3 linked regions of the Cricetulus griseus genome follow. The protein of the gene in region 1 interacts with the protein of each later gene in a biochemical or structural test. Links are inferred from orthologs where the notes say so. Each region holds a gene or a part of one and is shown on either strand. Other genes may lie near its edges. The genes, in order: Mark3, Ksr1 and Cdc25c.

The links.
Region 2: of the proteins of Mark3 (region 1) and Ksr1, one has a biochemical effect on the other in vitro, tested with the Homo sapiens proteins (2 studies listed by BioGRID). The link is inferred for Cricetulus griseus from reciprocal best matches to the Homo sapiens genes MARK3 and KSR1.
Region 3: of the proteins of Mark3 (region 1) and Cdc25c, one has a biochemical effect on the other in vitro, tested with the Homo sapiens proteins (3 studies listed by BioGRID, with this or other methods). The link is inferred for Cricetulus griseus from reciprocal best matches to the Homo sapiens genes MARK3 and CDC25C.

What each region holds. Positions count from the first base shown.
Region 1 is NC_048598.1:182,458,315-182,468,463, reverse strand, and holds the start of Mark3 (MAP/microtubule affinity-regulating kinase 3), read left to right. Parts: upstream 1-4,471; 5' UTR 4,472-4,604; coding exon 4,605-5,042; intron 5,043-7,651; exon of another isoform or gene 7,652-7,784; intron 7,785-10,149. UniProt on the Homo sapiens protein: Serine/threonine-protein kinase. Involved in the specific phosphorylation of microtubule-associated proteins for MAP2 and MAP4. Phosphorylates the microtubule-associated protein MAPT/TAU. Phosphorylates CDC25C on 'Ser-216'.
Region 2 is NC_048600.1:92,560,312-92,570,426, forward strand, and holds the start of Ksr1 (kinase suppressor of Ras 1), read right to left. Parts: upstream 6,742-10,115; 5' UTR 6,509-6,741; coding exon 6,278-6,508; intron 1-6,277.
Region 3 is NC_048595.1:202,741,052-202,751,087, reverse strand, and holds the start of Cdc25c (M-phase inducer phosphatase 3), read right to left. Parts: upstream 6,613-10,036; 5' UTR 6,407-6,612; intron 6,051-6,406; exon of another isoform or gene 6,047-6,050; 5' UTR 6,014-6,046; coding exon 5,832-6,013; intron 4,104-5,831; coding exon 4,009-4,103; intron 2,178-4,008; coding exon 2,132-2,177; intron 318-2,131; coding exon 284-317; intron 35-283; coding exon 1-34. UniProt on the Homo sapiens protein: Functions as a dosage-dependent inducer in mitotic control. Tyrosine protein phosphatase required for progression of the cell cycle. When phosphorylated, highly effective in activating G2 cells into prophase.

The sequences.
Region 1 (10,149 bases):
CTGGAGTTGCCCATTTGAGATCAGAGACTTACCAAGTTGTGAGACTGAACCACTGAGGGCTTTGTACTTTCATCCCACCCGTTGCAGCTGGCAGCAAACCTCAGAATGCATAGAGGTCAGAGGACAATTTGCAGGGGTCAGCCTCTCCTTCCACTGTGCAGGCAGGCACCAGGTCGTCTAGTCTGGCAGCGTGGGACTTCACCCACTGAACCAATTTACCAGCCTCAGATTGTGTTCTTGAGATTCAGTCACTTTATTTATTTTTTTATGGTTTTTCAAGGCAGGGTTTCTTTGTATAACAGTCCTGGTTATCCTGGAACTCACTCTGTAGACCAGGCTGCCCTTGAACTCACAGAGATCTACCTACTTCTCCTTCCTGAGTACTGGGATTAAAGAGGTGAGCCACCACACTGGCTTTTTTTTACTTTTAATAATGTTCATACATGTGTGTCTATGTGTGGGTCTGTGCATGTACCCGCAATGCCTGTGGAAGACAAAAGAGGGTGTCAGATTCCCTAGCTCCAGTCAGTTGTCAGCTGCCTGAAATAACGACTGGAGCCCCAACTCTGGTCCTCAGTAAGAGCCATCATTCCAGCTCACTTAAAATTTTCTAAAATCAGCTAGGCATTATATTGAACACCTTTAATCGGGAAGCAGAGGCAGGCTGGCCTCTATGAATTTGAGGCTGGCCTGGTCTACAGAGCACGTTCCAGGACAGCCAGGGCTACACAGAGAAACCCTTTCTCAGAAAACCAAAACCATTTAAAACAACAACAAAAAACCCCACAAACAACAAAAAAAGAAACAATAACTAAAAGTCTTTAATTACATTTATTTATTTATTTATTTATTTATTTGTGTCTATTCACATAAGAGCCAAGGCAGGCACAGAAGTCAGAGGGCAACCTGCAGGGGTCATTTTTCTCCTCCGTTGGGTTGACAGGGTTGGAGCTGGCACCCTCATCTGATGAGCTGCCTTGCCAGCCTCTGTTCTGCACACTTGAGGGTAAATATTTAGGACAGAATTGTGGTGTAGAGCATGCACAACTTGATGGTGTTGCTATTGTCACTAGTTATCATTAAATTGTCCTGACATGACATTAAAACGTTATTTTAAGTGTGTTTTGACTGTGTGTGTGTGCGCGCGTGTGTGTGCACACCTTGTGCCTGAGAGGCCAGAAGAGGGCATTGGATCCCCTGGAGCTGGAGTTCCAGAAGGTGCTGGGAACCTAACATAGGTTCTCTACAAGGGTCGCAAGTACATGTAACTGCTCAGCCATCTCTCTAGCATCCCCCTCCCTTTTTGAGACATTGTCTCACTATGTCATCTTGGCTGGCCCGGAACTTTCTACACTAGCTTGGTCTCAAACTCATAGAGATCCTCCTGTCTCTGTCTCCCAAGTGCAGGACAGACAGCTCAGAAAGTGAAGTGCTAGCCGTACAAGAACAGGGACCTGAGTCTCATCCCCAGAACCCAGGTTAAGAAAAGCTAGGTATGGCCGCTTTTTTTTTTTTAATAGTGGTGTCGCACGTCTTTAATCCTAGCACTTTGGAGGAAGAGGCAGGCGGAGCTCTGTGAGTTTGAGACCAGCCTGGCCTACAAGAACTAGTTCCAGGACAGCCTCCAAAACCCTGTCTCAAAAAAAAAAAAAAAAAAAAAAAGCCAGGTGTGGTGGTCTGTGCTTGTAATCCCAGGCCTGAGGGGGCAGAGACAGGCAGATCCCTGGGGCCCATTGGACAGCTAGTTTAGCCTAAATGGTGGGGAGTTCTAGACCAAAGAGCGATCCTGTCTTTCAAGACTGCTTTGCCCACCTGGGATTTTTGTGGACTTTGGGAGATCTAATTCTTCTGCTTGAGCACCAAGAGCTTCAACTGCTGAGCCATGTCCCCAGCCCCGAGTGCATTTCCGAATTGCAATGGATTTGTCACGGTGCTCAAGGTAGGTGCTGCTTTAACAGGAAGACAGGAAACAAACGGTTGTACATCTGAAATGTTAGCATGGGGGGTGGTGAGGAAAGAGGATAGGAATTTGAGGCCAAACTGAGCTACACAGCAAGACCATCTAAATAAATATATAAATAAAGGGGAGAAGAACCAGGCAAGAAACAAGAATTCTGAAAGGGAAAGCAAGGTGTCTTCTAACAACAGTTTAGGGTCTAATTGCCCCATCCTTTCCAGATAGATCTCAGATGCACAAAGTTCAGGAGCACATGCGTTCCTCTGGGGGGAGCAATGCTCTCCTCCTCCTCATGCCCTGTTGGAGCTCCTCTCCTTTCCTTTTCATGAATCACAAGCATGCCTGCCACTTCCAGGTCTTTTTTTTGTTTGTTTTATTGTTTTTTGTTTTTCGAGACAGGGTTTCTCTGTGGCTTTGGAGCCTGTCCTGAAACTAGCTCTTGTAGGCCAGGCTGGTCTCGAACTCACAGAGATCCGCCTGCCTCTGTCTCCCGAGTGCTGGGATTAAAGGCGTGCGCCACCAATGCCCGGCTCACTTCCAGGTCTTTATTGAGCCTTTACAATTCTGGGTCTTCAATTTTAAACTTCATGAAAACTAGGAAATACTAACCTTGAGGTTAAGTGCTGTCATCGTTATTCCTCACCTTTGGCATTCACTGACTCACTGTTTAATGTGCAGCACAAATGAGCAAATCCCCCTGGGGGAGGCCACATGTCCAGTTACTTCTCTGGCCGATGTGGAATGTTCTCCAGTGTCCACAGGCTTTTCCAAAGCCCCTTCCTGAGGCTGACAACCTTTTGGAGGCTTTCCTCAATTTATCAGGAAACAATGTTGAATCACCAGAATTCATCAGGGTTGAGGGGAGACCTGTTGCCATGCTGTCTAAATCTACCTGGCTCTCGCTCGCCCTTTTTGTGTTTGAATCCATCCTGCCGTTCCTCACCGCCATGCCTCTGTGTAGCCAGCCATCAACCCATCTTCAGAGTGAGCATGCCCTCTATAGGCTTCCCCTGACCCAGACCCCCAGTGAGACTGGATGCCCACACTTGGCCTCCCTGCTCTGGAGCACACTTCCAGTTATCACAATCTACATTTCAGCTGAATTGTGTGGAACAAACGCTTGATTCAGAGGAATGCCACTGCAGGTCTCTGCTTGACCAAAAAGGGAGAAAGAGAGTCACATTTCAAACAGGGTCGGCCGGTCCCCTTGAGCACACACACCCCACCCTAGGAGGGCAAGATGGGAGTTCTGAATGTATCTTAACCCTGTGTTGTTTTGTATCGGCATCCCCTGACCTCTCTGGAAGTGATACTGGTGTTTAAAGGTCTGTGTTTCACGAGGAAGGAAATGTCCCAGATACAGCAAGGCATTGGGATGCTGGGGACAAAAAACAAAACCAAAGCAAGCAAGCAAAACATAAGAAGGAAAAGAAAGCAAAGCCAAGTATAGTCACTCACAAATCTACCTATTTCTAAAGCTGTAGGAATGGGGTTTAGGTCCTTCTACTATAACCAACACAGATGATCTAGTTAAGTAGCTAACTTGTCCAGACTTTAGATCACACACTGCGTCTGCCCATCTTACCCTGAGGCTTAATGAATAATCAGTACAAGGTGGGCTATGAGTAGCGCTTTGCATTACCCCAGCTTACACAGCTTACACAGGCCCTCTTTCTCTGTACCAATGGATTCCATCCTCAGAAGACATTGAGGTGACAGGGTGAGGAGGGCTTCCAGAAGACCAGCCTATTCAGAGCTCCGGCTGCAGGTCACTCAGCCCGGCCCAAGCCTATAGCAACCTCACTGTCTTGGAGGCTCAAGCAGGAGAGGGAAGTAGGAAGGGAACGCGAGGGAGGGGAGCGAGAGGAGGAGTGGAGAGGGAAGAGGGAGACAGGCAGCGGTGGGAGAGTGGGGGACAGAGAAACACTGCGGTACAAGCCCCTACCGGCATTTAGTTATGGATCCCTGGGTGCGTCTTCGAGTTCGCATGCCATTCTCGCCGCCGCCTTGGTCTCTGCACTCTGTCATCCGCGCGGGGACTCGGCTGGGCCGGGTTCATGACTGGACGCTCGATGGACACCTCAGTTGTGGAGCAGGGGCCCGGCTCCTGCGCTCTCCGCCAGGCCTGTGACTGACTGCTGATGCGGTAGCTCCATCCTTGGCTGCATCCGTGGCCCGGGGAAAGCGGACTGAGCTTCTGCAAACAGCAGCATCTGCAGGCGTGGTGATGCGGCCGGCCGGGGTCAGGGCTCTGTAAACGTCGGGCCCACCCGGAGCGGTCGGGGATGCCCGGGCGCTCGGGACCGCTGGAACTCCGCTGGAGCCGCCAGGGACCAAGCCTGCGCGCTCGGCACCGCACCTCCGGCTCAGAACCAACGGGACGAGTCGCCCCTAGCAACAGCAGCCGGCACTCGCTCCCGCCGCGCTGATTGGCGGGACTCCAGGCGGCGGCGGCGGCGGCGGCGTCACTTCCGGCAGCCGGAGGCCGCGGAGGAAGCCGAGGGGCGGCCATCTTGGGTCTGTGAGGCTCCTGAGGTGCCGGGGCAGCGGCGGCGGCGGCGGCGGCAGCCGGCGGGCGAGGCCGGGCGGAAAGCGGGCGGAGAAGGGAAGGCGGCAGGGCGTGGGCGCCTCCTCCGCGGCCCCCTCCATGGTCGGCGCCTGCAGGCCGCGGCGGCCTGTCTCGCGCTTCGCCTGCGCTCCGTCCTCCTGCGCCGCCGCCTCTTCAGGGGCCGCCGGCCGCGCTGTGCGGAGCCCCGGGGCTGAGCTCCGCGGCGCCGCGGCTGCGGGAGGCTTGCGCCGCCCGCCCGCCAGCCAGGCGGCCCCCTTCCGCCGGGCTCCTCGCCGCGGCCGCCGGCCGGCGCTGGGGGAGAATGAGCCCCGGGGCCCGCGGGCGCACGGCCCGGGCCAGGCCGGGGATCTAGAGTCCGGCCGGGGAGGCCAGGCCCCGGAGGCTCGCGGCCGCTGCTCGCCGGGCGCCCGGAGCTGGGCGGTTTTGTTTTCGCCTTGGCGTTGTGCGGAGTCAAAGCGCAGTAAGATGTCCACTAGGACCCCTTTGCCAACGGTGAATGAACGAGACACTGAAAACGTGAGTGAGCGGGTGGGTGGGTGGGTGGGTGGCGGACCCTCGGGGCGGGGTGGCAGGCAGGCAGGCAGGGGCCACCCAGGCCAGACGCTGCCGGCGGGGCTCAGGGCGCAGCCCCGTCCTGCCGCGCGCGCCTGCGGCCTGCGCGCCCTCCTTACGGTCGGCTGAGCATTGCCGGCCGCGGCCGGGGCGCGTTCGAACCCGGCTCTCCTCGTGCACCGCGCGGCCTCAGAGCCCGCCTGTCCTGGGTGGGTAGGATGGTGGGATGCAGTCGGGGTCCTGGACGGCCCGTTGAAATGGGACCAAGTTAAATGACAACCGCTGAAACTAAGTGCCCCACGCGGGGGAGAGGGAGACAGACAGATAGCCTGGTGCCCCCCCCCCCCCGTAGCTTCCGAAGACAGAAGAGTAGCTGTCTGTGCTCGAGAGCCGCTGCCTTTATCAAGGAGTAGCTTCCCGTCCTGGCGAATCTTAAGTCTGCTCGGAAGCAGTAGGCTGAGAGTTTCGAGAGGCAGATGTGGCGTGAAGCTCTGCTCTGCTCTGCCCTGCTCTGTCCTGCTGCCCAGCTGAGGGACACCCACTGAGCTGGCCTTTCCTTCTGCTGCAGAGGCTCTCAGGCCCATTCCAGCGTGCACACCCAGCAAATCTATGTAAAGAAAGAATTTTGTTCGAAAGGACCTCCAGGAACAAATCAAACAGCAGCCAGGAACAGCGTTGCTAGTAGGGAGTGACAAACGTGTAGAAGTCGTATTGAAGAAATGTTAGACCTGCCCAAGTGTGTTGTCTTGAACCCTTCTCCTTTCATTGGATTCCAAAGTGTTCCGGCCCAGCTTTGTGCTCTGTAAAGCATTTAGCAAATAACTTGTAAAGAAACTTCACTGGCCTTTCATTATACAGAGCTATGAGGTAACCGCTGGCAAGAAAATGCCATCTCTTTGGAAAAGCCTCCGTGCTCCCCGGTACTCATGCTTTGCGCGCCATCCTTAGACACGGTGACCTAGTGGTGTCTGGTACCTTCATTTTAATCTTCAGAATGCCACTTGGAGCTTGATAGCTACTGAGTAATTTGTTTATGTAGCCCCTAGTCGAAGTCATCTCTGTATTATATCAATATACAATTGTATGTTCTTCCACTTGAGATAGGTTAGAAAATTACCTAGTTAAGAGAGCTTAAATTAGACCTTTCCTCTTTTCTTCCTCCATCTTCCCCGTTTCCCCTTTCCTTCTCTCTTTTTTTTTTTTCTCTCTCTGCCTTCCTTTCTTCATTCCATAGTTCTTGCTTGGGCTGCTCCAGGGAGCCTTCTGCCTCATTCTCCCCATAGCTGAGAATCAGGCTCGAATCCTGAGACCTTTTTTACATTCTTATGAGGAAACTTACCTTTGACCTGATTGATCATCATAATCTATTGCTACCTCAAAAATGAAGCAAGTAAATTGATTGATTGGCTTTGATCATTGTTTTTTTTTTTTGTTGTTGTTGTTTTTGTTTTGTTTTTCAAGATAGGGTTTCTCTGTGTAGCTTTGTAGACCAGGCTGACCTGGAACTCACAGAGATCTGCCTGCCTCTGTATCCCGAGTGCAGGGATTAAAGGCGTGTGCCACCACTTCCCCAGTCCATCAACACTTTTTAAGTGGACGTTCTAATGAGCAGTCATATAGCTACCACCAGTTAAAGATACAGAACATTTCCATTTCCCAGAAAGATCTCATTTCTGACCCTATAGCTTTACCTTTTTATTTTTGTAAGTTGGGCCATAAAATGTGTAACTTAAAAAAACAAAACAAAACAAAACAAACAAAAGAAACAATTGGGACAGGGCTAGAGAGATGGCTCAGTGGTTAAGAGCACTGGCTGCTCTTCCAGAGGACCCAGGTTCAATTCCCAGCACCCACATGGCAAGTCACAACTGTCTATAACTCTGGTTCCAGTGGATCCAATACTCTCACACAGACATACATTCAGGCAAAACACCAATGCATGTAAGATGAAAATAAATAAATCATTAAAAAATTGGGACAGTTTCACAGTGTAGCAGAGGTTGACCTCAAACTCATCCCCCTGCTTCCTCCTCTTTAGTGCTGTCATTACTAGTGTGGATGACTTCATCCACGTAACATAATGCCTTGCAGGCCTTCCTGCCTTTTCTTTTTTCTTTTTGAGACAGGGTTGACTTAAGTATCCCTGGCTATCATAATGTTTTTTGTTTGGTTTGCATGCTGCTTTTTGTTTTGTTTTGGTTTTGGTTTTTCAAGACAGGGTTTCTTTGTGTAGTCCTGGCTGTTCTGAAACTCAACTCTGTAGACCAGGCTGGCCTTGAATTCAAGAGAGGTGCCTGCCTCTGCCTCAAGAGTGCTAGAATTAAAGGCGTGCGCCACCATTGTCTGGGCAAGTAATACTTTTGAGATTTGTGTTTTCAAGTATACTAGTAGTTCATTTCTTTTTATTGCTTGTTAATATTTCATCAGATGTACCATGATTTTTTAAAAAATTCTTTTACCTGATGGTGGTCATTGGTTATTATGACTAGAACAGCTGTGTGTGTGTGTCAAAAGACATCCTAGGCATTTTAAATTTAAATGATTATATTCACTTGTGTTAAGAATACTGTTCTAGCCTTTGTGTTGCCTGTTCACCTTTGGTCACTAGTGAATGTGGTGTCAAAAAAGGCATAAATTAATGCTTTGCAGCCATTGCTTACCCTGGAGTTCAGTGTCTTGGGTGTAGGAGCTTCGTAAGTAACAGAAAATCTAAAAAAGAAAAAAAAAAAGTTGTTCATTGAATCAAGTAAGAAATGGGGCTGAGAGTGTAGCTTGGTAAGTATAGTGTTTGCCTGGCCTTTTTTATTTTTTGGTGGGGGCTTCTTTTTGAGAGTATGTCTCACCATATAACTGGCTGGCCTGGAACTACCTATGTAGACCAAGCTGGCCTCAACTCAGAGAGACCCACTTGCCTCTGCCTCTTTAGTGCTGAGATTAAATTTGTGGACAGATGCATCCTAGCTTTTAAGAAGCTTTGGCTTTTATCTGTAGTGTAAAAATAAATAAAGATAATTTGTAACAATATTTTTTCCCTCCTTATACACTATTTTTTTTTTTTTTTACCCCGAGATAGGCTTTCTCTGTGTAGCTTTGGAGCCTATACTGGCACTCACTCTGGAGACCAGGCTGCCCTGGAACTCACAGAGATCCACCTGCCTCTGGCTCCCGAATGCTGGGATTAAAGGCGTGCGCCACCAATACCCGGCCATATACACTATTCTTTTCTCAGGTGTTTGATTTCCACATTACTATTTATCTTTATGGATAGGAATATAAATGTTCACTGTAGCTCAGAAAAACTAGTTAAACATTTGGGTCCAGAAGATGATATGTCCAGCCTCCTAGAACTGGAATTTTAGGCGGTTGTAAGTCACCCAGTGTGGGTGCTGTGAACTCAGCCTGGGTCTACAAGACTTCATAAGAATTCAGCCATCTCTCTGACCCAAAAATAGAATGCTTTTTAAAGATGAAAGAAAGTTTAGCTTTCATTTTATGTTTTATAGTTGATTTGCATAGAGATCTGTTTAGTAAATCCTCTTTTTATATTTGACAAATTAGAAATGAATTTTTCACTTAGATTTCAAAGCGTTCGGCACTTTCTAAGCCTGGATTGTTTGCTAGAGGACTGGAGGTAGAGGTTTGCTAGTTAACAGCTCTAGATATTTACTTACTGTTTAATGTCTCTGTGGCAGTGGTCCTCAACCTTGGGTCTCCACCCACTTGCCAAACCTCTGACTCTGAAACTATTTACATTATGATTCATAGTAGTAGCAAAATTACAGTTATGAAGTAGCAGCAAATATAATTTTATTTTTGGGGGTTCATCGAAACATGAGGAACTGTATTATTAAAGGGTCACAGCATTCGTAAGGTTGAGAACCAACCTCTGCTGTCCTGGAATTCTCTATATAGACCAGGCTGGCCTCAAACAGAGATATTCCTGCCTCTGTCCCCCAAATGCTCAAACTAAAGGTGTGCCCTACCACACCAGCTACATCAGGTGTTCAGCAGTTAGTATAGCATGGTCACATCATTACTTCTGTGAACTTAACTAGTGGAGGTGATGTCTAGCCAGCTGTTGATTGGGTGACACTGCATTAACCTGTGAACAAATTGGAATGCGTACAGCAGCCTATGAAGCTGTGCTGTGGAGGGTGTACTGAACACCTGAGAACCAGATGGCTCCTGTTAGGACCTGCTTGTCCAGCAGAGCAAAGTACCCAGGCTTTGTGGAACTAGTCTGTACTGTCTAACCTGAGCAGACATACCTGGAGGGCTGCTGGTGCTGACATGCTCATCTCTAGTTCTCACCTCAAAGCTGGCTGCTTCCCGCCAGGTTCCAAGACAATGATCAGGCACACCCAGGGACCACACTTTAGAAATTTTCAGCTGGCTAATTAGGCTTTTGGTTATCTAGGTTTTTACAAGAGATTTTTTCCAGATTCTATGAGTGTTTTTTTGTTTTGTTTTGTTTTTGTTTTTAAGACAGGGTTCTACCATGTAGCTTTGGATGGCCTGGAATGGCCTATTTAAATTGGCTGACTTCAAACTCTGTATGAGTTTTCATGAGTCACTTTAAAAGAAGGTGTGCAAGCTGGCAGTGTGGTACACTCCTTTAATCCCAGCACTCAGGAGGCAGAGGCAGAGGCAGAGGCAGGAGGATCTCTAAGTTTGAGGCCAGCCTGGCCTACAAAGTGAGTTCTAGGACAACCAGGGCTATTACATAGAGAAACCCTGCTCAAAAAACTTAAAAAAAAAAAAAAACAAGTAAAAAAGAAAGTGTGATTGTGGACTATAGGAATAGTTACTCTTGTTCTTATTTCACTATATTCAGGCAACATGTAAAGTAATTTATATAGTAGCTTATTTAAATATGTAGTATGGGGGGCTGGAGAGATGCTTCAGGGGGTAAAAGAGGACCCAAGTTCAATTCCCAGCACCCACATGGTGTCTTAAAAACAGCTGTAGTTCCAGGAGATCCAACACCCTCGGTTCACTTTGGGCACTAAGTGTATATGTGGTGCACACACATACATGGAGGCAAAACACCCATACACATAAAACAATGTAA
Region 2 (10,115 bases), on another chromosome or scaffold:
TAATGTGTATCTTAAGCACTGCAATTAACAGTAGCAAGTTAGAGGTATATTCCTTGTGTCAAGAACTGCTCAGAAAGAATAAAGCAGGTAGCCATTTAAAAAAAAAAAAGAAATGAGTGGGGTGGGCATGGTGGTGACACCTTCAGTCCCAGCACTCAGGAGGCAGAGACAGCAGGATCTCCAGGTTCCAGGCCAGCCTGTCTACATTACTAGTTCTAGGACAACCAGAGCTGCCTAGAGAAACCCTGTCTCCCAAAATAAAAAAAAAGGGGGGGGGCTGGAGAGATGGCTCAGAGGTTAAGAGCACTGACTGGTCTTCTAGAGGTCCTGAGTTCAATTCCCAGCAACCACATGGTGGCTCACAACCATCTGTAATGAGATCTGTTGCCTTCTTCTGATGTGCAGATATACATGGAAGCAGAATGTTGTATACATAATAAATAAATAAGATCTTTTAAAAAACCAACAAACAAAAAACAAAAAGAAAAAAAAACTGAGTAAGTTGATCTCTAAGCAGCTTCTCCTTTCTCAGAATGAAACTGGCAGGGCTGGGTGCCTCATCCCCTGTTTTGGGGATGTGCTGAGCTGAATGGGAGGGAAGCCACCCAACATTCAAACTCCAGGCTACACAGGGCAGTCGCTCAGCAATGCACTGGAACAGAGCCAGTCCTGGGCCAGTCCTTCATGACTGACCAGAACCCCTCTCCCAACCCTCCCAACAGCAGCTTTTCTACAAGCAACTGCAAAAGTTGCAACATGAGTTCTCAAGACTGGGATGTGGTGTACATGCCTGACATTTCTGCCCTGGGGATGCTAAGACAGACAGATCACTGCAAGTTCAATGCCAGTCAACTGAGATTCAACTATATCCACCGACTCAGGCTCTCTGGCTCTCCTAGCTCCAGCTGCCTCATCTTCAAACTGGGAAGGAAATTTCTCAGGTAAATGATCATTGTAAGAAAGCATATGTTAAGGGCCCACTAGAGGACTTCACAGAGTATGTTCAAGGATGTTCCTCATGTATGTGGACCCTCTCTTTGTGGAGGTCACTCGCATGAACGCTGGTACAGCCACAGCCAGGAGGTGTTCCATCCTGGCTCCAGGTCCTGGTCCATGCACCCCAGCCTCCAGGTCCTGGTCCATACATCCCAGCTCTCCTTGGCCCACAGCCTTCACAAACAGCATATCCTCCTTAGGCCTCCTCTGAAGGACATTTGGGAAGTGGATCCATCCAAAGTAAAAGTCACCAAGTGAAAGCAAACACCCTCTGAACTAAATGTAAAAATGGGACTAGACAGTCTGCCCTGGGAGGACATAAAAAAAAAAAAAAAAAAAAAAAAAAACCAGCTTAGGGGGTTGGCAAGATGACTCAGGGGAGTAAAAGGGCTTTCAGCCAAGCCTGATAACCTGAGTTCGATTCTCTGAACCCACATGGTAGCAGGAGAGAAATGACCAGACAGACTTGTGCTCTGACCTCCCCAAGCATGCTGTAAATAAACAAATGTAATGAAGAGCTTTTAAAGTTCAGCTTAAGGACTCAAGGTTTTGTTACCCACACATTTGCAGACACTGTCAGTGTCACCTCAGGCCAGCACCTTTGTGCATGGTCCCTCTCTGGACTACAGCCAGCAAGCAAGCAGGGAAGCATCTGGTATGGAATGCTGCTTCCCAGGATTATGAGCCAAACCAGGTGTCTGAGAGAAGAAACAGCCCTGCAGCTAGGAGGTGTTCCGTCTCTATCCCAGGCAGCAACCCCGGCCTCCAGGTCCTGGGTGCAGATGCAATAAGGTCTCCCTCCAGCACTCCAGCCCTGCTTGGCTCACGGCCTTCACAAACAGAACCTCCTCCTCAGGTCTCTTCTGAGGGACAGTTGAGAAGTGGGTCTGCCCAGGTTAAAAGTCACCAAGGTGAAAGTGGACACCAAAAGAGACAGGCCCTCAGCTCCATGTCCGTTTGGTGATAACTGGAGTTTCTCAGGCAAAAAGGTTAAAATGGAAGCAGAAATGTCACTCTCCAGACACTAGCTGGGTTAGAAAAAGGAACCAGGTTCTAGTCACATCTTTCTTGGGACATCTGACTTGAGAACAGCCACCAAGACTCTGGCAATGTTTCCTACAGAACCAGTAAGTCAGACTGACTGCTTCTACGATATTCCTAACTCAGGGCCCACTTGAAAAAGCTCTCGGCCAGTCATGGTAGTGGAGTCCCTGCTGTTCACCTGTCTGGTTACCTCTTTAGATGAAACATGCCCCTCACATCCAAAGACCCCACCTACCAGAGTCCAGCTAGGATTGCCATAAGCAGTGATGGAGGGCCTGGTCAGTGAACACATCCCTCCACTCCTGGTAGTTTCACTGGGTACTTCAGGTGCCATGAGGAAACCAGGTCCTAACACCGAAGAATCTGAACTCTGCCTAGCACAGACACAGCAAAGCCTCCTGGGTAACTCTGCTTCAGGGCAACTAACTGCTCAGGGAAGTGGCCAAAAGCAGAGACTTTACCCATAACTTTTTCTGATAGCCCTTCCCCAGAAAGGACTCATGAGCAAAGCCCTTTAGGGACCCTATGACCAGGATAAGATACTGAGTCAAGGCAGAGACAGCTTCTGGGAGGCGCTACAGAGCGCCGACAGAGTGAGCATGCATCTGCATTGTACACCACTGTCTCCCCAGTGCAGAGACGGAGCCCACAGGGACCCACAGATGGCACCAGCAGGTCCAGCTGTGCAGCAGGCCAGGTGTCCCTCCATGCGCACAGCTCCCACACCCCTGGCTTCATGTAGTAATCAGGCCTCTAGAGGGGCTTCCAGAAACAGGGCACCAGATGACAGGGCACCTGATGACACAGCCCTGCAACCTCATTCCAGAAACACTGAGTTCTGGTTGTGTCTCCTGCCCTTTCCATTTAGACAGGGGAAATGTGTGTGATGAGCTCCAGGAGATCCTAGAGGTGAAGAGGAGGTCAGCACACAGCTGGGCAGGTAGGAAGCAAACATTAAATCTTGACTTCTTTCTCCTCCTTTTAAATGCAGTATTGGAGATTTAAACACAGGGCCTTATATATACAAGGCAAACGTTCTACCATGGAGCTACACTACACTCCCCACCCCTTTTAATTCCCTTTTCAACCCAAGTCATACTGCTCCACAGAGCAAAGCCATCAGCAGATAGCATGTCATCATGATCTGGGATCTTCACAAGCCATCTGCCCCTGGTCAGGGGCCCACGGGGGACATCCCACAAGCTGCCTCTCTCAACAGGAGTTTAGCTAAGGAGGGCCAAAGTGGGCTGGGCCTCTTGAGATTCTGCCAGAAGTCTGACATAGCTGTAAAGGACAAGCTCTCCAGTCAGACACCTGTGATCCTAGCACTCAGGAGACAGAGTCCAGACAATAGCCATGAGTTTTCAGCCTAATCTATATCCTGAGTTCAGCCAGGGCTATATAAGACCTATCTCAAGGTTACACACAAACACACACACACACACACACACACACACACACACACACACTCAGAAATCTGAAGCTAGACAGGTGGCTCAGCAAGAAGTTAAAAAGAATTTAGTGCTCTTGCATAGGATTCAAGTTCATTTCTCAGCACCCACATGGCAGCTAACCTGCAACTCCAGTTCCAGGGCATCTGATGCCCTCTTCTGGCCTCCTCGGGCTCCTGCACACATGTGGTACACATAAAGTCACACACAAACACATTTTTAAAAAATCAGAAATTCAAGAGGGCAGTGAAACTGTCCCAAGTTATTTGCCTTTCTACATGCTACAAGGCTGCTCTGAGCCAGCCTTCTGGGATTGCTTCCTGCCCTGTGCCATCACCTGTGGAAAATGAATTCTGTGTGCTGCTTCTTCTAAAGGTACCCTGTGCATGAATGTCAGCAGACCCCAACCAGGGAAAGTTTATAGGCAGGTTTTTGATAGCAGGGCAGACACAGACTCCATCTAACACAGGCGAAAGGACTCCATCCCCACTCTACAGATGGGAAGTTTGAGAGAAGTTATCAGGCTTGCCCAAGGTCATCTAGACAGAAACAGGACCAATTATAAAGCTGTGTGGGCCTTCTGTTCCCTAGCACTCCTGCGGTCAAGATGCTCACAATAATAAAGGCATCTCCTACACAATCTGTCCAGTACATCTGGTTTTTAGTATTGTTCTTAAACAGGGACATCAACATAGAATAGCATACACAAATGTTTAACTCAATCCAACTGTATACACACACACACACACACACACACACACACACACACACACACACACTCTAAACCACAGAATGCAAAGCTTTTCAGAAACAGCCTGAAGGGAACCACTCCAACCTCATCCAAGCAGATGGGGAAGCTGAGGCCCCAGGGATGATGTGATTCACCCAAACTAGCTGGTAGCAGTCCTGGGGAACCAGCTCCAAGGTCAAAATCCCCATGAAATGCCACCTAAAGTCCTGTCTTTTCAGGGACCAGAAGGGTCCTTCAAATACACTGCAAAGAACAGGGCACTTGTCCTGCTCATTCTGCAAATGACCCTTGGGCCTTTGAATGCCACCAGGGTTGACCTCACAATGCACACAGTGGGGAGGCTGCTGCCTAACCAGCTCAGGGGCCTGAACAGCTGGAAACTCTGAGGTATCCTAATGCCACAACTTTGTCAAAATGTGCAACATTAGAAGACAAAGAGAATTTGCAGAGAATACAAAGTAAGCCATTCTACATACACCCTGGGATCCAGGAGCACCTCAAAAAGACTTGAGGAGGACCACAGAGGCTAACACAGAGAACATTCTCTCCACCCAGCAACACAGCAGTTCAAAAGACATACACTGCTGGACAACGACCCCGGAACTAAGACACACAGGCCTCCTATTGTATCAGCTTAAAAACTGAACTATGTGGGGCATACACACTCAGCTGTGTTCAAGAAATCCACATGCAGAAAAGCCTGGTGCAGAGCTTTGTTGGTTTGTTTTATAAGCAAAGCCCTGGTCAGTCCTGCTATAGCAACTATAACAAAAAACAATAATAATAGCCAGCACTGGTTGGAGTCTCCCAACGTCCCTGGCTTTGTGGCTTTTCTGAAAATACAGCTAAGGGAGTCACCCTGAGCATTTTGGATCAAACAAGGACTCAGGCTTGTGGTGTGAGAGAAGGGTGGACTGGTCTTGTAATAATTACAGCAATTACTGGCTGGCTCTATGACATCTGGCAGATGCATTTAGCAATGGTGTGTGTGTGTGTGTGTGTGTGTGTGTGTGTAAAATCACATATCTAATAAAAACAGACATCCTCAGACCTACAGAAGCACAGATGTGGTAATGCCAGGTAAGAAAACGTCCTTCTTCAGGGCAGACCTATTAACTGGCCCTTCACTTTCAAAGGTCTCCCAGTCCCTGGAAGCAAGCTGGGAAGGCACTAGTTTTTCCTCCAATGTGTAAGGGTGGGGGAGCTCTCCCTTCTGAAATCCCAACCACCTTGCTGGCTGGTTCTTCCAAATCCTCTTAATGCTCCACTTCCCAGCTATAATTTGACAGAAGACAGCTCACACATCTTATTTTTCACTGCACTCCAGGTCATCACTATCAGCAACCCCCTCAAGTAGTGTGTTCTTACCAAAGGTTCCCTTCACCACTATAATCTTTCCTAGGCCAAAGCCCGATGTTTCAGGCAGAGCGGGGAAATCAATGGGTAATTTCATTTTAAGCAGTGAACCGTTGTGACATCGCGAAAGAAAAGCACTCCAACGCCTGAACAGCAAAAATGCTGTTTCAGCAAACAGTTTTTGAAAAGCGGCAGACAAGACCTGATGGAAAGGAAAGGAAAGGGCAACGGGACAAGGAGAGTGGGTAGTGAGGGAAAGTCAGTGCCACCGGCCGATGCTCACACTTCAGGGGACGTCCCTCCATCACCCCAGCCCACGCTACCGGGCTTAAGCACACCGAGAAAAGTCCAGCGCGTGATTCAGTGGGACAATGACTACTATGGGCACTGGAAATGGGGTGAGGGTGGAGAGGGGTTTGCAATGGGATGCCCGTGAACATCCTTGCCCACACGCGGGTCCTCGAGCCTGGACACAACCCCCCCCCCAACACCCCTTCCCCCAAATCCTTCCAAAGCGAGAGCTGGTCGTATGTCCTCATGGCACAGCATCAGCGAGCTCAGCAAGGGAGGAAGACTCTAGCCAGCAGACCCGGCTGCAGGATGCAACTCGGGAAGGAAAGCAGCGGGGCGGCTCCCGGGGCACAGCGGGATCGGGACCACGGGCGCCGCGGCCCCTTACCTCCAGGGTCCGGATCTCCTGCTGCGTGAGGTCGTTGGACACAGAGCACTTGGTGCGCAGCCCGCGCAGACTGCCGATGGAGATATCGATGAGCTTCTGCAGCTGGCCGCACTGCTGCAGCGCCCGGCTGGCCGCGGCCCCTGCGCCCCCGTCCGCGGCCGCCGCGGCGCCCCCGCCGCCGCCCTCCTTCTTCTCGCCCATAGTCGCCGCGCGCAACGCCGCTCTATCCATGCCTCGGCATCGGGGCCGCTGGGGGCCGAGGCGAGGAGCCCGGGGGCACGGGCGCCTCGGCGGAGAAGTCTCAAGCCGGGAGGGCTGCACTAGGAGCGCCCCTCGGCGCTGCCAAAGCCAGAAGTCTTGAAAGCCAGGCGCCCAGTCCGCTCCTCCCGCCGACCAGACGCGGCGGCAAAGTGAAAGCCTCCGCGACCCGACGGCTGCGGTTGCTGGAGCCTTTAAGCGGCCGCGGGGGCCGGATCGAGACCGCGGGGCATGCTGGGACTTGTAGTCCGCGCCGCACCATCTGCCTCCAGGCCCGCGCCCTCGGGGCCCCGCCCGCACTCTGGCCCCGCCTGACGTTTAGGAGGGGCTGCTCTGCGCCTGCTCCAATTCCTGTGGCTCGTGGTCTTGGGAACCCGGTTCCTCATCCTCCTCAATTCCTTTAACCCCCACCTCCCACTACTACCCACTTCTCACGCATGCAACCGCACACACGTTAGTAGCTTCCCACCACCGGTGAATAGGGTGGGGCAGGGTCTGATGGCTTACACCCAGATGAGCCCTGTAATGTGGGATATTGAGGGTCCCAAATTTTTGCGGGAGCTTAGGGACCTCCATATAGGGGAATATGCTAAGAATGTAGCTCAGCGGCAGAACATTTGCTTGGCAAAGATAAGGCCTTAGGTTTGATTCGAGGGAAAAGAAAAGGACACTACCACCACCCTACACACACACCCTCAACTAGTTCTCACAACACTTGACCCTGAGTTGTGTTTGGTTCCCATAGACTTTGACCCTGAATGGTCTATACCAAAGTAATGGACAGGCAAAGAGAAAGGACTTTCTTCTGTATTCTATTTACTCAACAAATAAGTTTAACATCTAATACCCTGCAGATGACATGTGAGCAGCACATCAATTTGTTAGACATTCCTAAGAGTTTCCAAGCAGATAGAACCTGAGTTCAAATTTGGTTCCCACTACTCCACTGCCTGTTACATGAACTCGGACAAATGGCTTTTCATTTCACATTAGATGAGGTAGTAGCCACCTAACCCAGGTTTCTAAAACAAGGAGGTTATGTTTGCACAGCACTCAGATTAATTACTGGCACGTGTGGCCATGTATAAACGTTAGCTCTTTTATAAACTCAGACTTCCTGAATTAGACCCTGAGCAAGCCTTCAGTGGCCACAGCAGCAGTATTTCCCAGGACTTAAAGATCCAGCATTTAAGCCTCATCACACCTGTTCACTCTCCTATTAGTCCGTCTCATCTACCAATGTAAAAAAGGAAAAACGAAGCAAAGTGTGGTGGCACACATGTTTAATCCCTGAGCTCCAGAGGCAGAGTCAGGAGCCTCTCAGTGAGTTCAAGACCAACCTAGTTTTTACATAGTGAATTCAAGACCAGCTTGGGTTATATATCTAGTCAGGTCTTACCTCAAGAGGGGAGTGGGGCAAAGAGATAGCTCACCAGTTAAGAGTACTTGCTCCTGCAGAGGTCCAGAGTTCTGTTTTCAGAACCTACATGATGGCTTACAACCATCTGTAATTCAAGTTCTAGGGGTTCTGAAGCCTTTTAACTTATGCAGTCACATACATGCAGGCAAAAACACTCATATATATAATATAAAATTAAGCAGCTATGAGGTGGTGGTGCATGCCTTTAATCCCTGCACTCAGGAGGCAGAGGCAGGCAGATCTCTGAGTTCGAAGCCAACCTGGTCTACAGAGAGAGCTCCAGGACAGCCTCCAAAGCTACACAGAGAAACCCTGCCTGGAAAAATCAAAAGAAGAAGAAGGAGAAAGAGAAGGAGAAGGAAAGAAAGGAAAAAGTAAATAAATACAATAAAAATAAAGTAAAATTAACCTAACACATCAAAACTATCACTGACAGCCAGGACTGTTTCACAGAGGAAATCTTGTTTCAGAAAAACAAAAACAAAAAACAGTCACAGTTTCAGCGACGTGTGGTAGCTCATGCCTGTAATCCCAGCACTCTAGAGGCTGAGGCAGGAGGACTCCTCACTTGAGACCAGCCTAAACTATATAGTGAGACCCTGTCTCAAAGGACAATGATGATACAGCAGTCCTCACTCGGCATGAACAAGACCCCTGTGCTGTACTGACAAATCCCCCAGCCCTGACAACTACCTTAGCCCCACTTCAGACCCTGCATTAGAGAAATGACTACCCTGAAATAAAACTGCAATGGTGTTTTTCAAGCTTGAACAAGCATCACAGTCAACTGGAGGACTTGCTCATCCTCCAATGATAGCCCCAGAGCCTGTAGTTTCCTGATCTATAGATCCAAGCCTGGGCCTTGAGAATTTGCATTTCTAGCAAATTCTTGGGTGGTACTGATGCTGCTAGTGTGGATACCATGCTTTAAGAAGCCACAGTGCAGAAAGTGGATGGGCTGGACTTCTCAATCACTCTTCACCTTATTGTTTTGAGGCAGGATCTCTCACTGAACCCCAGGGGTAGCCAGTTCTGCTAGTCTAGCTTGCTAATGAGCCTCGGGAATTACAGGCATGCACTGCTATCCCACCTTTTACATGGAGGTTAGGACATCAAACTTAGGTCCTTAGGATTGCACTTTACCAAATGAGACATCTCCCCAGCTCTCAGGCCCACTTTTTTCCCCCATACCCTGACAAAGACCCCTGCTGTCCTACAGCCTGTGGCATTCATGACTACCCATGCCACTATGACGTCAGCAGCAGGGCTGGAGACTAGAAAAATGTCAGCCTCTTGGCTGCCATCCTTGAGCACCTGACCACATGTGCATGTGCATACACACACACACACACACACACACACACACACACACACACACACACACACACGAGTAAAAGTAAAAATAAATCTAAATTAAACACATACACACAATGTAATGTAGGATGCCACCAAGAAGCATGGTATAGTAGCCCAGACTTGTCAGCACAGTGCTAGAGAGGAAAGTGAATCCACTGAAGGTCAGCTTCAGAGTTCTGTGCCCAACCTCAACTACGTGAGACCCTGTCTCAAACAAAGAAGCTTGGTTCTGTAAGCACACAAAGTGAAAGTCATATATATGTTTATATAGTGTATATTTACATGTCTATAATATACATAATACAAGTATATATTTCAATATATATATATATATCTTGCTTCTGCTATATTTTTTATTTTATTTTGCAAAAAAGCTTAAAGAAAAAAAAAAGGAATCCCTCCATCTGCAGCATGAAGAGCAAACCGTAAAAGACCAGGGCTGAAGCAGCAGCTCCCGGTTTTGAGACTCCTGCAATGGTCAGGGCTGGAGAGAGGAGCCAAGGAGGAAAAGGAAACAGCACACATGCTGGAGACAGACTCAACAGGTCAAGCCTGTGGGTGGAAGGTGAGATAAAAGATAAAAGATAAAAGTGCTCATCCTGACAGTGGCACTATCAGGGAAGTGCTACCCTGCAGCCAGGTACAGGCTGTACCTCAGGTTCACATCTACTTTCCTGGCAGTCACCTTCCTGTCAGCAGTACAGCAGGAGCAAGCAGGTTTCTGCTGAAGTCTAGGCTAACACACCCAGAGCTGGGTTTTCTGGATGCCATTTTCAATCTAAGAAATATGTGCATCACTTGGAT
Region 3 (10,036 bases), on another chromosome or scaffold:
CCAAAGCATTTGGAGTACTACAGAGAAGCTGCACCTAAAAGACATTGTCTACTGAAGGCATCCAATATCCATTATCTATACCGCCAGCTGGGAACCCTGTCTCCCACCTGAGAAACAAACCCACAGTCAAACAAACCATAGGGAGAGTCTCACCTGGGCCTGGTGACATATGCCTCAAGTCTCAGCACTCAACAGTGCTCCAGCCCAGCTAGCCAAGCATGGTGAGACCCTCTGTTAAAGGGAAGGAAGAAAGGTAGGCAGGTGGGTAGGTTGGTCTACCTACTGGGATGCCTTTCATTGGGTCCTGGTGATGATTCCTGTAGAGTAAAACAAAGACAAACCAACTAGTCAGGTAATCCCCAAACAGTTTGGTTCTTCAGTGCTTAGGAGCACCCCAGTTCTTCCTTTCTCCTATTCAAGGAGCACTAGTTTTTGTTTATTTATCTCTTTCAACAACAATATGCAGGGTATTAAGTTCACCAGCAAAACCAGACAGGATAAATAGGTACCAAAGGGAGTTTGCCTTACATCTCTTATTCCTGTTCTGGTGCTAAGGATGGAACCAAGGGCCTTGTATAAACTAGGCATTCAACCAGTATACACCTGCCACTCCTGTCTCACATCTTACACAGGAACAATCTATGACTTAGTACTGTTCTAACACTGATGACAGGAGGCTCTTTTTAATGATTGAATTTCTACCTTTCCTCCATTTCCACCCAGAATATACAACACAGGCTATTTACAGTAACCCAAAGCCAGGCCTGTGGTCTACCACTATACTATAGAACCAGCATTCAGGAGGCCGAAGTAGGAGTTCAAGGTCATACTTGGACTACAATGAGACCCTGCCTCCAAGAAAAAAATATAAAAGAGAAAAATCAGTCCAGGTGGTGGTGTCACAATCCTTTAATCCCAGCACTCTGGAGCATGTTCTGAAGAGTACCAGGACAAGCCAGGGCTATACAGAGAAACCCTGTCTTGAAGAAAAAAAAAGAAAGAAAGAAAGAAAGAAAGAAAGAAAGAAAGAAAGAAAAGAAAAATCAGTTCAAAGACAACATGAACAATGCAAGTGAATTTTTACACATGTTCCTAAAAACTGCCATAGAAAGCTTTTAATAAGTTTTGATTTTTTTTTTTTTCTGGTTTTCCTAGACAGGGTTTCTCTGTATTGCTTTGGAGGCTGTCCTGGAACTGCTCTGTAGACTAGGCTGACCTTGAACTCACAGAGATCCATCTGCCTCTGTCTCCCAAATACTGGGATTAAAGGCCTGCACCACCACCACCACCACCTAGTATCAATTTTGAAAGGGTTGAATTGAAATCAGTTTTTATTCCATGTACACTCCCAGCTAAATATTTTAGGATCTCCAAGAAATACTTCATCATAGTTATAACAATAAACATAAAATGCTTGGTATTTGCTAGATACATATTTTGTTTTGTTCTTTTTCTTTCTTTTTTTGGGGGGGTGGGGGGAAGTAAGAGATGGGAGATGGTGTCTCACACAGCCCAGGCTGGCCTTGAACTCACAATCATCTTGCCTTGACGGCTTGAGTTCTGGAATTACAAATGTAAACCATATTACCTGGCTATGATTAGTGTTTGTTTTTATTGTTGATTTGAGTGGTGTTTTGTTTGTTTGAGACAGTGTCTCAGGTGGCCCAGCCTTCTCACTTTTAATCTTTTCAATAGCTGTTTACAGAGCACCACTGTTATCGCATGTTATAAAGAAAGAAAGTTCGATCCAATGGGTTAAGAAATTGGGTCACACCCAGCTGTTGAAGTAGTAAAGCACCAGAACCTAGACAATCTTATCCCTGAACCTGTATCCTGAGCCACTAAAATACGGCACCTCTCACGTGTAAGAAGAAGCCCTGGCATGAGTGCAGTATACCATTTCCCTTCACGTAAAAACAAGATATTTCTGTGTATGCTGGTTTAAAATAGCCTGCATTTCACAATGCTATTTAGAACTAGAAAACTTAAAAGCTGTCAAGTGAGAATCTAGGCCTCCAAGCCCACTAATATCCCAAGTGAAGTACTTCACAGTCTGCAGAGTCCACATAGGACAACCTGTGGTTGATGAGGGAAGGCTCAGGCATGCAGACTATTTAACAGCAGAACTTACTTCTCAGCTAACTGTACATCCTGAGGTCCTGAGGAATCCAAGGAACCTGCAATCAGTTATGAAGAATAATGTGCTGAGCATGCAGCTTACTTGGCAGTTTTTGCCTAACGTGCACAAAGTCCTAGGTTCAATCCTCAGCACAGCATAAAAGCATGGTGAGCACCGGGCGTTGGTGGCGCACACCTTTAATCCCAGAACTCGGGAGGCAGAGGCAGGCGGATCTCTGTGAGTTCGAGACCAGCCTGGTCTACAAGAGCTAGTTCCAGGACAGCCTCCAAAGCCACAGAAACCCTGTCTCGAAAAAACAAAAACAAAAACAAAACAAACAGAAAAACCACACACACACAAAAGTGCCTGTAATTCCAGCACTTAGGAGGTAAAATCAGGTAAATCAGAAGTTCAAAGGCTACAAAGTGGGTTTGAGGCCAGCCTGAGCTACATGAAACTATCTTGAGCCAACATCTTCTCCCCTCCCTAAGAAAACAAACAGAGGGACTGGAGAGATGGCTCAGCAGTTAAGAGCACTGACTGTTCTTCCAGAGGTCCTGAGTTCAATTCCCAGCAACCATATGGTGGCTCACAATCATCTTGAATGAGATCTGGTGCCCTCTGCTGGCACGTAGGCAGGAGACTGTATACATACTAAAAAATAAATAAAATCTTAAAAAAAAAAAAAAAAGAAAGAAAGAAAGAAAGAAAAGAAAGAAAACAAACAGAAAAGGAAGTGGCTACTCGGGAATCTCAACTTAAAGCAAATATTAGAATGGTCTACTAGCAAAACTTTTTTTAGACTCAGAAACACACACACACTCGGAGAGAGAGAGCCCAATTAGTTGACAAAGTATTTCAAAGTGTTCGGAGGGTACTGGGGATTGAATGAAGGGTCTTGTAGAACAAAGTATTTCTTTAGGCCAATTTCTTTGCTTCTACTGAGATCTGAGACTAAATTGAGATATAAAAAAATATTTACTGTACTTTCATCTCCACCATTAATCAATCAGTCAACAAAATACATTCCTTCCTTGAAGAACTTTTTCTTTCTTCCTTTCTTTCTTTCTTTCTTTTTTTTTTTTTGGTTTTTCCGAGACAGGGTTTCTCTGTGGTTTTGGAGGCTGTCCTGGAACTAGCTCTTGTAGACCAGGCTGATGTGGAACTCACAGAGATCCGCCTGCCTCTGCCTCCCAAGTGCTGGGACTAAAGTCATGCGCCACCACCGCCCAGTGAAGAACTTTTTCTAATACATAACAATTTTTTTTTTTTAAGTTTGTTTGAGACAGGGTTTCTCTGTGTAGCTCTGGCTGTCCTGGAGCTCACTCTGTAGACCAGGCACTACCACCATCCAGCTACATAGCAATTTCTATTACTGTTATTTTCTCTTTCCATTTATCGTTCAACTAAAAAATTAACTAACCTCAAAATTTTAGGCAAATGTTTTCTCTCAGGATTTTGGGATGTAGTAGCGCTGGCTGGCCTCAGCCCTCCAAGTGCTAGGCTTACATAAGCTAATACACCTGATTTTTTAACCTATTTTCACCATCTTCAATTTTTATCCTATTACCTTGTCCTTTCCTCCTTCCTTATATTTGTAAGTCTTAGTGTTTAAAGACGGAACCACCTCTTCAGCCTAAGAGATGGCTAGCAGTTAAGTGTACTTGCTATTCTTCCAAAGGATCCAGGTTCCTTTCCGAGCATCCATATGGTAACTCATAACAGTCAGTAATCCCAGTTCCAGGGGATCCAACTCGCAACTATACTCTGATCTCTGAGGATACCAGGCATGCATGTGGTACACATACATGTAAGCAAAAATATTTATACACATAAAAGTTTAATAAAAATCTTAAAGTTAGTTTTCTCTTTAAAGACTGTCCCCCTACCTGTTTCATCAAAGTCAGCAGAAGTGGTAAGATGAGAAGCAGACATCTCTCCATTGCTAAGATTTGAAAGATCAAGGCAACGTTTTGGGGTTCCTCTGTTGAGACATAAAAATATATCAAGATTTCCATTAGGGAGTACTATCCTAAAAAAGGTAGAGATCATGTCTTCACTCTCAATTACTACCACAAAGATCTAAACAACATCCAAATAAATCTGCTATTTGGAAATAGCTCAGATTGGGCTGAGAAAAGCAATCCCCTACTTTTTTCTCTATTACAGTAATGTAATCCCAGCACCAGGGAGGCAGACACAGGTGGATCTCTGTCAAGGTCAGCCTGGTCTTCAGAGTGAGTTCCAGGACAGCCAGGGCTGTTACACAAAAAAAACCTGGTCTTGAACAAGCAAAAAAACAAAAAACAAAATCAAAACAAAAACAAAAATGTGAGACTAATTTTCTTCTCACCAACATATGGAGATGGGATTTATTTAATGAGAATCTAAAGGGATCTTTTTATAATTTTTACCACATTTTTTTGTATGAGCACATACTTGTGTGAAGACAACTCCAGGAGACAGGGGCTCTAACCTGGGCCCATCATGCTGAGCCATCTCACCTGCCCAGTAAATAGGATCTTGACCTCACATTCTCTACCCCGTTCACCCTGAACACAAATTCAATTTCTCCTCGGAATCTCTACTATTCCTCAAATCCTGTTTGCTACGAGGTGTAAAGACAATATGACTAGACTCTAAAGTACAACACTAAAACTGATACAATTAAAGTGACCAACTCATAAAACATAATAATAGAATTTTCAGAGTTCTTCATAGACATCACATTGATTCTGGCATGACAGGAAAAGATTATTCCTGTTAAGATAGAAAATGATTTTTCTTATTATTATTTGTTTGTTTGCAATAAGGCCTCACTCTGGAGCCCACTAGTTGTCTTGAAATTTACTAGTAGCCCAGGCTGAACCTGTGGTCATCCTGACTCAGCTTCCAGAAAGGTGAGATCAGAAACATCCTCCACCAAGTCCCATTTAGAAAAAGACACTTACGGGGGGGCGGGGGGGCCCTAAAGAGATGGCTCAGAGGTTAAGCGCACTGACTGCTCTTCCAGAGGTCCTGAGTTCAATTACCAGCAACTACACAGTGGCTCACAACCACAATTCAATCTGGTGCCCTCTTCTGGCATAAGGTAGAACAATGTATATGAAATAAATAAATCTTTAAAAAAAAAAAAAAAGACGTTTTTTATTGTTTGTTACATGGAAAGGAAGCCCAATGTGACTCAAAAGAGTCACACATTCAAGGTCATGGCTGAGACAAACCCTGAACCTCGAAACAGTATAATTCTGAAAACAAACCTGTTCATAAAACCAAAGACAAGGTATAAAACTAAAAGTTAATTTACCGGCTGGAGTGATGGCTCAATGGTTAAGAGTTTGCTGTTCCCCAGGGTTGGGGTTTGCCCACGCCCTTAATCCCAGTACTCCGGAGGCAGAGGTGAGAGGATCTCTGAGTTCAAGACCAGCCTGGTCTACAAGAGCTAATTCCAGGACATCCTCCAAAGCCACAGAGAAACCCTGTCTAGAAACAGCCCCCCCCCCCAAAAAAAAAAGCTTGCTGTTCTTCCAGAATACTGCAGTTAGGGCCCCAGCACCCACTTAAGGCAGAGTAACCACCTATAACTTCAGGCAGGTACAAAACTCTGACCCTCTGAGACCACCTATAATCACAAACACATACCCACGTTTGGAACACACACACACACGTCTACACATCATTAAAAAATAAATCTTTAAAAAAATAAATTTACCCAGACAAAATGCTTAGGTTTGTCGAGTCGAGAAGTTTGTCTCCTGGAGATTTGGGGAAATCTGGGAAAGAAGTGTTTCTTTCCAAAAGTAGGTTTAACATCTTCCTTTGATTGGACCTAAAACTGGGTGCTGAAACAAAACTTCCCTCTTTTCTTGCAGATGGAAAGGGTCCTGTAGACATGACTTCGGAGTCTTCACGGAAGAAGAGGGGTGGCTATCTAGGAGAAAAACACTACAGATACTCAGCTTTCCCAACCTCTCCGCCCTTTCCAGTGCCTGCCTAGGCCCGGGTGGAGGAGCACCCCCCAAAAGGATCCCCAAAGGATCAAGTATAACACGCTGGAATGTCACACTGCTCAGGGCAAAAATTTACAGAGACCTGGCAAGCTCAGGCCTTCAAAGGAGGAACGGAGAGAAGACTGGCTTGATCCGGATCGTTCAGCTTCACACTCTTGGCCAGAAGAATTGGATCTACCTAACGCGATAAGGCTATTCGGACCTCCGGTCCCCGCAAGAACCCTGCAGGGACAATCGGGTGTCCGAGATTCCCGAACGGACACAGCTCTCGGCTTACCTTCAGTTTAGAGGCAGATTTGAATTTGGAGAAAGAAACTCCTGCAGAACTGGACGGAAGCGAAGACTCCAGCGAATGAGAAGGAATCTGAGGAAGAGAAGAGGGTCTTCGAGTTAAAATGGTATCTAGTTAGCTCGAGGTCCAGATTTGCTGCTTCTCTCCGGAATTGGCAGAAGGGCAAGACCAACAGCCATAGGCCTGACCATTCAAACCTTCCGCTCTCTCAACAGCCTATCACTGTCCTTATGCCAGTAGCGTCAGCCAATCAGCGTGCGAGACTAGGACCCTGCCCCCTTACCAATCGCTAGGGTCGTACCTGGTCGACTAGGCATCTCCGCCACACAGAGAGTCTGATGCTCATTGGCTCTCCCTCTGGCCAATCGTCACACCCTTCAAGTACTCAATTCCCCCAGCCCCAGCAACCCCGGGAGATTTGAATCGAGCCCCGCTAACGATGACGGTCTGGAGGAACTATTCTTGCGTGAAGTGTTTTCTTCTCCTTGCTTCTTTCTCGCGTCGTTTCTCTTGAGTTTTGTTAGCTTTCGGCTGGAAATGGAGCATTTGCCGCCAGTGTGGCAGTTGTTGGGGCGTGGCAGGTGTGTATTGATGCTGAGCCGCCCCTGACCCATTCCAAGAGGTTTTCTGGGTAGAAATTCCTTTTCAGGGAGAGTAGGAGAATTGAACGTTTTGACGTAATCCTCACGACATTCTAAAGGATCTTAAACTTTGGCTATTTGTGCGGCTTTGAACATTAACAAAATTGTATTTATATGTGGGGAGAGGTGTGGTTTCATGCTTGCAATCCCAGCACTTGAGAGAGTGCGAATAGGAGGACAGAGTGAGCTCCAGATAACCCGGGGCTAGAGGGAGACACTGCTAGGAAGAGGAGGAGGGGGGCAGGAGGAGAGTTATTATGGTAGTGGTAGTGGGGGTGGTAATAGGAATGGAATCCAAGCCTTGGGAACGCTGGACAACTACTGTCATTTAGCTGATACTACCCAGTCCAAGATTTTTTTTTTCTTTTTTTCCGAGACAGGGTTTCTCTGTATTGCTTTGGAGCCTATCCTAGCACTCGCTCTGGCCTTGAACTCAGAGAGATCCACCTGCCTCTGCCTCTGCCTCCCGAGTGCTGGGACTAAAGGCGTGAGCCACCACTACCTGGCTCAAGAAATTAGTTTTAGACTTATTTTTTAATTGTATGTGTGCAAGTTGGAAGGTCAGAGGCAATCCCTCAGTACTGGAGTTACTGGCAGTGTGAGCTGCCCAACATGGGAGCTAAAAAAACCAAACTCTGCAAGAGCCATACATGCTCTTAACCACAACTCTCTCCAGGCCCTGAGCCCGAGAAATTCTTAGGTTGTTTTTCTTCTTTCATATCTTTTGCGAGTGGGCGTGAGTATAGATAAGATAATTGGCATGACTAGGAGTGACGTCTGGGTGGGAAATTTAATGTACATACTAATCACCTGGAGATCCTGAGAAAGTGGATTCTGATTCAGTAGGTCTGGGTATGAGACCCCAGGGCCATACTCTTGAGAAGCAAAGCATTAGGCTGTACTTTTTGTGTGTCATTTATCTTAAACTTGTCTTCAGCTTGAAATCCCTCCACCTCAACCACTTGAATTCTGGGATTACAGGCATGTGTAGTCATCCAGTTTCCTGCACTCTGCTTCAGAATAGATTTTACTTTTTTTCTTTTCTATAGCTTTTTTTAAATTTCATGTATATTCATGTTTGCCTGCATGTAAGTCTGTGTGAAGGTATCAGATCCCTGCCCTGTAGGCACTGGGAATTGAACCTAGGTCCTCTGGAAGAGAAGCCAATGCTCTTCTGTTGATCCATCTCTCCAGCCCCTTTTCCTTTTCCCCTTTAATGGCTAGTTGAAGCACGATCTTGGCATATAGCTCTGGTTGGCCTCAAACTCATGATTCCCCTGCCCAAATCACCTAAATTCTGAGATTACAGGCATGTGTCACCACACCTATCTTGAAATTTTTCATAATTAAAATTTATTAAGCTGGGTATGGCAATGCCCACTTGTAATCCCAGCTCGGCAGAGGCTGAGGAAGGAGAATTACCAGTCTTCACTACATAATGAGACCCATTATCAAAGAAAATGTGGGGAACTTGGGGGTGAGAGCTTGCAGTCTAAGCCCTTGAGAGGCTAGGGGAGGAGGCTTGAGACAGCTTCTTGGTGTAGCTTTGGAGGCTGTCCTGGAACTTGCTCTGTATACAAGGCTGGCCCTGAACTCAAAGATCCGCCTGCCTCTACCTCTAGAGTGCTGGAATTAAAGGCGTGCACCACCACTGCCTGGCACGAAATGCTTTAACATAAAACCTTAGGAACTATTTTAAGTACAGACCAATAGATATATAGATTATGGCCCAGGAATGATCAAGGCTGCCAGGTGCTACTGGTTTGCAGACCACTTTTTAAGAAAAGTCAGAAAAATAACCTTTAAAGCTGGATTTGAGGACCAGAGAAATGGCTCAGTCAATAAAGCATTTGCAGAGCAAGCATAAGGACCAGATTTAGATTCCTAGAACCCACGTAAATGCTAGGTAGTATGATGACCTGCCTGTTATCTTAGCCTTCAGGAGGCAAAGGCACCTGGAGCAAACTGGTTAGTTAGACTAGCCAAATCTGTGAGCTCTGGGTTCAAGTGAGAGACCCTACTTTAATATACACCAACCAAGGTGAAGACACCAACCAGGCGGTGATGGCACACGCCTTTAATCCCAGCACTCGGGAGGTAGAGGCAGGCAGATCTCTGTGAGTTCGATACCAACCTGGTCTACAAGAGCTAGTTCCAGGACAGCCTCCAAAGCCACAGAGAAACCCTGTCTCGGAAAAAAAAAAAAAAAAAAAAAAAGCAAAAACAAAAACAAGGTGAAGACACCTGCCTTCAGTCTCTGATCTAATGCACAAGCACACATATGTATCCACACATGTGAACAGACATACTCATACACACCCCACACACATATGAAAAGGAAAAAAAACAGTGATGGTGGTGGTGTATACCTTTAATCCCAGCATGCAGAAGGAAGAGGAAGTTCCAAGACAGGTAGTGCTTTTACACAGAGAAACCTCATCTCATACTCCCCTCCCCCCCCCAAAAAAAGCTGCACTTGGCTCACTCCTGCAATCTCAGAGCTTTGGAGGTCAAGGTAGGAAAATCATTACAATGTGGATGCTAGTTAATTTCAAACCACCAATCAGGGCTATGGGAAATGGGAAATACCCTGTCTCAAAACAAACCAACCCAAACCTTTATCTGCCATGAGGGTCTTGGTGGTGACAGTGGCTGAAAGATGCAGGATATTCATCCTGTTTCTATATTAATATCCTTTTATCTGCAGAAACTGCTCCCCCAGAAAGGGGGTGTGTAAAAAGTCTTTGTCCTCTAGGACAGAGATGGTAAGTGTGGGAGTCATCACAGAGCCTTGTCATGCCAGGTAAGTTGGAAAATAAGGCTGGGATTTAAGGGAGTATGAGATGTGTTTATTTCTGCTTTGATGGCTATAGTCATACTTTTTGAGGCACCGTCTACTTCTCTGCAGGTGGGAAGTCGAGACAGATGAAGTGGTCCTGCAGCAGAGGTAGAAGTAGCTAGTTTATGGCAAGTG